2 linked regions of the Arabidopsis thaliana genome follow. The protein of the gene in region 2 interacts with the protein of the main gene of each other region in a pairwise test. Each region holds a gene or a part of one and is shown on either strand. Other genes may lie near its edges. The genes, in order: UMAMIT11 and ABCC4.

Region 1 (3,936 bases), 2.5 Mb from region 2:
AAAGTGGCATGATGAAATAAAGGACGAACCGCGTAGGCAGAAGCGAGAAGGTTCATGTCAAAACCGATGTTCAAAGCAGAAGGATTGTGTTCCATTACGAAGGCTAGGGCTAAAGACTGTAACGTTCCCATGAAACACACCATTGTTGACATTGAGAGATGGGCTGAGTATTTCTTCAAAGTCGCAGCCTATTTAACAAAATATAAAAGCCTAATTCGTTAAATCTATATTTTTATATATTACGAAAACAGTGAAAAAAAATTCCAATCATATTATTATTTTAGATATAGTTAACCCAATTATTTTTTTAAAAATTATATAACATGAAAAATTAGAAACAACATCCCAGTAACATTATTAATACTATATCTAAAATTTCAAATTTTTTATATTACTTTTACGTATCCCCTACATGGTTTGGTGCATAAACTATATTTTCCTATGTTGATGGAAATTTAAAACTAATCCTAAAAACTATATTATACGTTTTTTAGTGATGTAAGAAGTGAGTTATATTATACACAGGATCAATATATAATTGATACATACCTGAAGAACAAAGAACGACGCCCATGAGAGGGAAGCGAGGAGTAGGAAGACGGCAGCCTTAAGATAGTCAGCCGTCGGCGGCGAAGAGGCGGCCGTGAGGTGAGACCGGAAGAAATTAATGAAAGGACCTTTGTAGAATATCATCAATATGGATCCAACCACTGTCACTAACGTCCCCATCACTTTTACCAGGCATCTTACTTTTCTCATCTCCACTTTCTCCATCCTTTAAAACAAATATTTACATAAAACACACACATCAATATTCATAATTTATGACATCGATCGTCATACACTAATTGTACTACTATACATCTACTTTTGAATTGGTGCATATCCACGTACCAAAATATAATAAAACGTATCTTTTTCTTTGGTTAAATGAATAAATGTAAATAATAAAAAAGTTGCTTTTTGTATGTTACCTGAAAAGTGTGGCAAGGATAATGGTAATTGCAGGCACGATGTTGCTAACGGCGGAGGAAAACGTTGGTGATGTGAGTTTTAGACCGATATAGTATAAGTTCTGATCAATCACCGGCCTGTTCAAATTAAACCTTCCATGTTAGCCTTAATCGTAATTATTACAAAATCTTCTTGATATCAACGGTTCTGTTAGAAGACTAACCCGAGAAGAGCAAGAAGAAATATTCGCATGAATATTGGAAACGTCATCTTTGATCTCACTTTCCTACAAAAAAATCCCCAATACATAATTATTACTACCAAAAAAAAAAAAAAATCTAAGTCTTGCGAGAATCGATTTCTTTAGAAGAAATATGTACCTTTCGGAGAGAAGAGCGAAGGGTGCGATAGCGGCTGTGGCAAAAGCGTTGCGGTATGCAACAAGAACGTAATGGCTCATACCGCGGTCTAGGACGGTTTTAGTTACTAAGTTCATACCTGCGTATCCGAACTGAAGACAGACCATTGCAAAATAAGGTTTAGCTGATTCTGACATCCTTAATCCCATCTTAATATTTTGTTTTTGTTTTTGTTTTAGAGCAAGAAAAACCAATCAAAGTTTTGGAGTTATTTTAGGATCCTCGAGGACAAAAAAATTGTCAAATTAGTGTTATGTATATAAGAAAACTGAGTTAGGAAAAGAGAGGAGAGAAACACTTGGAGAATGTGCTTTTTCCTGAGAACCAAGTGGTGAGAGGTTCTTTGTATATATAGCATATTATTCGGATATGTTCAGTGTTCTCTGATTTCTTCCTTTGTATTTTTGTTATTTTTATTTTATTTTTTTTCGGTGACGTTAGCGTTAATTATTCCGGTTTGATTCGGCATAAGAATTGGGTGTCATGAATTCATTATCTCTAAAGTAAGTGGATAAAACATTCTACATATATATATTCTGTTTATATGACTTCGTGAAACCAATCATATTAGGATTTTAAATAAAACTTGTGGCTACTAAAAGTCGAGGTTAAAAGTGTGATCAGTGTGGAACAAGTGATTAATTAACATCACCTCATTTCTTAACAATCAAAATTTACATGTTTATAGTAGTATATGTTTTAGTTGCACAAAAAACAACAACATTAGTATATGTTGTAGTTGCAAAAAAAACAAAAAAACTAATAAGTACATATGGACACTAAAACGTAATTCTAACATGCATGTAAATTATTTTATTCATGCAATTGGCTTTAAACATGGTTTTTTTTTTTTTTAAACTGTGGACTTGTCTATAAAATCACAAAATCCAAACTGAACTAAAATTAGCCGGATCGGATTAGCGTATTGTTAAAAGATTAAAAGAAACTTGAAAGCCACAGAAAAATTGTTGCGATTGTTAGTCTACCGTGGTTTTCGATATATGTGGTCTCATGACTCATCACCATCATAAGCTAATTGCTTTATTTAATATATAGTAGAATATCTTTTGGTTAATGTATAGTAGAAATTTGACAAATCGACCGACCTCTGCAAAAAGATTAACTCATTGTAATGCTAATATGGGGTTATATACGTGTGGAATCTGACGTATGTCCACCTCTATCCTAATTACTACATTCATGGTCATAAATCATCGATCTTTAATAAGAGGTTAAATCAATGAAGAAGCATAAGTGGACAGATTGAGTTCCACGTGGCAGCAATAATCAATTGGGTTCAATCCTACGTACATTGGGACCGGCCAATATCTCAAAACTACATTTCATGTTTAGAAATTTAAGGTGGACAAAATATGTGTTACATGTCTTGTCTGTTATCGATCTCTTCACAAAGAAATAAAACCCCAGATATTTTTAGAGTTACGTAACAAAATAATTATGAGTTATATATGGTTAAAAGTTAATCTAATCAGAATATTATTAGAACACCTTACCAAAAAAAAGAATATTATTAGTACAAGAAAATCTTGAATATATGTTCTGTTTTGGGCACTTAATTATATATGTTCATACCTGTTGTTTACATTTCGGATAAGCAATTATATACTCAATTCTTGAATACATCTATACATGTTTGCGTACATATCATCGATCTGCCTAGAATTGCTTATCCGAAATGTAAACCTCATATATTATACAATATATAAATTCGTGAACAAAAGCTAACCACATAGCATAACTCATTGGATTCTTTTGTTTTATTATATATCCCAAATACTTCACTTATGTTTAGTTGGGCATCCATTATCTTTTATAGAATATGCATTAATGTCACTTTAAGTGACAATAGTGGCTACTTTACTTAGTTGGAGAAGGTTTGTGTGGAATTCGTATCTTAATTTTTTTTAAAAAAATTAGATAGATTCAACTGTATTATATTAGGTCGCATGACTTTGTTGATATGTATATGCACGGTGAGAATGAGAACAAAGACGAATTATTTTATTATGCAATCCGAAAAAGTTTGATGGTTCGATCGGTTCAACATCTTGATTTGCATTGTTTTAATTGGAGGTTCTAGTCTATCCATCATTATTTTTTTTGTTATTTTTTTGAAATTTAAACTATCCATTATGTTAATAATTAATAATTCAATATACTTATCCAAATAGAGGAAATGTCTCACGCTCACTCGTCTGCATGTATAAAAACATAAGTACTTTAGAAGTATTATGATTGAACCAACTGACTAGTGTTGTACAAATGATATGATGTTGATTATTTAACAATAGTAACAATATTGGAATGTCTTCATATATATATATATATATATATATATATATGATCATTCTATGTTATATTCGAGTTCAAGATCATATAAATTTATAGTGAAGTATACCAACCACTGTATCATGCATGAACTCATCATAATAGGATTTCTATTCGTGTATTAGTGTAAACCATATGTTTCATGATCAAAATTTCGTTCCAATTATGTAATGATCTCTTGCACATTTTAATATTATAGTTATGTATGTGGCTA
Region 2 (3,936 bases):
GAGCTGAAGCATCATGTCAGAGAGCTGTTGTGCATCTACGGCCATGTAATTCACGATTTGTCCTACGCCGTGGTTCTGACGCGCAGAGCCTGTGAGCTTTAAACCTTTCTTGTAGAGTGCAGTGATTAGAGTTGACCTTATAAGCATCCCAAGCTTCTGGGAATCGAAATTGAACTGATGCGTCGTCAAGACCTCGACGAATTTGGCAACAAGGAGGATGAGGACGAGGTAATAACCTTGCCACGGGGAGGATCTCTTGCCGGAGGTGAAATCGACGAAGCTCTGGATGAGAACGGGACCAACGTACATGACGCCGAGACGGACGATGGCTAGAATCGCGGTGAAGAGGATCTCCTTCCAGAAACATCGGAGTAGAGTCGTACGGATAGGGTGGCTAGAATTCTCCGACGGTTTGGGCCAACTCGATTCGAAGAGAAGCGCGAGCCTCTCTGCTTTGTGCTCTGGAGAAAGCGTGGGGACTTGTTCGAGCGTCAGTGGAGATTTGTAGCCTTTGCTGAGTAAAGGATTCATCCATAACCAGAACGTTTTCGAGAAAACAGAAGCAGACGCGTAGAGAGAGACGTTATCGGATTTCTCCACCGAAACGGCGTCGGATGGTTTCGTAGGACTGTTGGTCTCCGCTGTGACGAGGCCGGTGATTCCTCTGACGGAGGCGATGAGAAGAAAGGCGGTTAAAGGGAAGGAGAAGAATGAAGCGACGTCTTCTGCTCTCAGACTCGTGGCGGCGTCGGAGAGAAAATGGAAAATCCCAGTGACGGCGAAGAGAGACGTGAGGACGAAACTGGAAATCCAGTAGATTCGTAGAGATAAGGGATGATTTAGAGCAGCGAATCTCTTCTGGTGGAGGACGAGAACGGCGATGACTAGGTGTGTAACGGCGTGAATAAGCCAAAAGAGCGGGTCTATGAGGTTCCATGGTCTCTGAGTCCGTCGCTTGCCAGTGAAGGCCAAAACGCAGAGCACGACGGAGCAAAACGACAATAGAACGGTGACTGCGACCGTCGTTTTGAACCATGCGGTTGTTCTGGTTGGGGTTCTTCCACGGATACCAATAAGAGGTTTCCTAATCTCAGCGTGTCCGTTGATTTCGGAAGAAGAAGAAGGAGAAGAAAAGAGCTTGTGAAGAGCGAAGCAGAGGAGGAATATAAAATCAACGGCGGAGAAGAGAGCGCGTTGAGGGCAAGGAGAGAGTAAAACAAATCTGAGCCATTGGATTGGTACTGGAACTGAAGACGTATGTTCTACAACAGCCGAATATGAACATGAGAGCTCAGAGAGCCATGGAGAAGACGAAAGCAACCACATTTTTCCCAGTGAAAAAATATAAAAAAGAGAGAGAGAGAGGAAGAGAAAATTCCTCTGAATTATCGGTTTGTTTGAAGTGGAAAATGTAAGAAAGAAGCTCCTGACATTAAAAGGTACCGATTATCACATCCCACAATAGTGTGACTGGTGGTGTACAACAATGACGCTGCAACAAAAGGCCAAACACAAAAAGAAAAAGAAAAGTTGACTATCATTTTATTACTTATGAATCTTTTTTTGAATAAAAATGATAGAAACTTTGCTATTCACGTGTTAATCATATTATCTACTAAATAATTACTACTATATGATTATATATTATTAGAGGATAGAAAAAAAAAAAAGTCTGTTGGGTCAAACCATTAGAAAATTGATTAAATCAGTATTTTAGCATTAGAGTCATTTTCTCGAAGATTACGCTAAGCTGATTTCCAACAACTAATAATCTTTTAGTTTCGCTTTTTCAAAAAAAGAAAGAAAAAAGATGTTTTATGCACTCAATCATATATGGTCATCTAGTCTTACCCGTAAACTGTCTGCTATTTTTATTTTCTTTACACTAAGTTTGTTTTAAAACTCAAAGTTGTTTAATGTTTTAATAGGACTTATTGGAAATAATATTATTAATGACGTATCCACGACCTTGACCAGTGTACACAAAATATATAGCTATATGCGTTGTCTAGCTAAATACTGCCAAGAGAAGACAAATTCTTGGTTTTGGGCAAAAGAAAAGACAAATCCATTGGAACGAAAATTCGAATCTTTTATCATTAGCTAATTACATGCCGTAGTATCTTCTAAATTTGGTTGAGAAAATCGAGTTTACGATTTGTTTTTAGTCTACTAGTTAAACAAGAGACACGCGGAAACCTTTGTTAATAATATATAAACAGCCGCTTAGGAAAAATTTAGTATTTTGTTGACAAGATCAGCAGAAGAAAGAAAGGAACTACACCATACTAATAAATTAATAATAAAGTTACCAAAAAGTGGAAAGGGTCGTGTGAGATTTGTCTTCCACTGAGTTGGTCGAATTGATTAAGAAAGATGAATAAGAAGAGTCTATGAGAATAAGAAAAGTCTTATTAGAAAAATTGGACCAATTATTGGAACCCTTTATATCATGGAAATATGGAATGATAAAATTCTATCACTCTCATATATAATATAAAGTGTTGTTGTATTGTGTGAAATAAAACTGTGTTGCTGCAAAAAAGTGGTGATAATATGAGACGTAACGTACAATTTGCTCCCTTGAGAAAACGTCGTCATGATTAATATAAGTTGACGTTCCCAATTTTATTACTCCTACGTAATAAAAGGGGGACGGGCCGGAATATCAGTTTCCAATCAGAGCAGAGTTGTCTTATCGCACTTAATTATTTGCAGGCTACTTGTTGTTGTTACTCGTTTCTTTTCCATTGCCATGTGTAGAGGAATATAACGATTAGCAAGAACGAAAAAACCGACTAAAAGATATATATGCAGAGAAAAAAGATCGACATAGAGTTAATTACCGCATGTTACTTGTATTAGTAATAATATTATGTTATGGGTCAACACACCTTTATAATATTAGATCCGATCACTGACCGATCGGAGCCATTGAAAAAGGACATTTTCATAAATCTCAATATCAAATGATATCTGGTTGTAACCACTAAATCTGTTTGCTACCATCACGTGGCTTTCTATATGTTTCTATCCGTTTTTTAATTTAATCTTTTCACATTTTAGTATGTTTATGTTTCTATGGACATGTTTAGAAGAAGCGCACGGTGAGCGAGCGAGTTGGTTGTTGTTTCCTTGGGCTAATAATCGTATTGGACCGTGCGTTAAATGGGCCGAAAAGGTTAAAACAGGCCTAAATTTTGACCTATAGAGTTATAACCTTCTCTATGACTTAGAGAGGTAAGTGCTAATCCTCGTTTCGTTTTGATCAACGAACAAACCCTAGACCGTTAAAACCCTTATCAATTTCGCTGAAACGGCAAATGGAAGAAGTGTCGTCGGAGATGGAAGTGGAGGTTCAAAATCGTCAGCTTTCGGATTCTTCTCCGGCTCAAAACGTGAAGAAATTTGGGCTCAAGAACTCTATTCAGACCAACTTCGGCTCTGACTACGTCTTCCAGATTGTCCCAAAGTAAAAGCTTTCTGTTCTCTCTTTTCGATAACCATACTAATTAGTTTACTGAAAGTGAACCCAACTCTGGTTTTGTGACAGAATCGATTGGACAGCAATCGCGGTTTCCTTATCAACCAACACCGTCAAGCTTTACTCGCCGGTGACTGGTCAGTACTACGGCGAATGTAAAGGCCACTCCGATACCGTCAATCAGATTGCGTTTTCCTCCGACTCGGCGGCGTCTCCTCACGTTTTGCACTCTTGTTCCTCCGATGGTACCATTAGATCTTGGGACACTCGAAGTTTCCAACAGGTGAGTTTTTTTTTTTTTATATAAATTCTGTCGTAAATGTGATTCCATTTTCGGAACTCATTGAATTTAAGTTGATCATGGGTGTTTCAGGTTTCGCGTATTGATACTGGGAATGATCAGGAGATTTTCAGCTTCTCCTATGGAGGTGCTGCAGATAATCTTCTGGCTG

Evidence for each region.
Region 1: the proteins of ABCC4 (region 2) and UMAMIT11 interact in a protein complementation assay, tested with the Arabidopsis thaliana proteins (one large-scale study listed by BioGRID).

Annotation. Positions count from the first base shown.
Region 1 is NC_003071.7:17,063,993-17,067,928, forward strand, and holds the start of UMAMIT11 (nodulin MtN21 /EamA-like transporter family protein), read right to left. Parts: upstream 1,822-3,936; 5' UTR 1,523-1,821; coding exon 1,335-1,522; intron 1,241-1,334; coding exon 1,178-1,240; intron 1,092-1,177; coding exon 975-1,091; intron 776-974; coding exon 550-775; intron 189-549; coding exon 30-188; intron 1-29.
Region 2 is NC_003071.7:19,572,334-19,576,269, reverse strand, and holds the start of ABCC4 (multidrug resistance-associated protein 4), read right to left. Parts: upstream 1,605-3,936; 5' UTR 1,327-1,604; coding exon 1-1,326. Other genes in the region: AT2G47790 (Transducin/WD40 repeat-like superfamily protein), read left to right, coding at 3,324-3,472, 3,554-3,767, 3,858-3,936. UniProt on the Arabidopsis thaliana protein: Involved in the regulation of stomatal aperture. May function as a high-capacity pump for folates.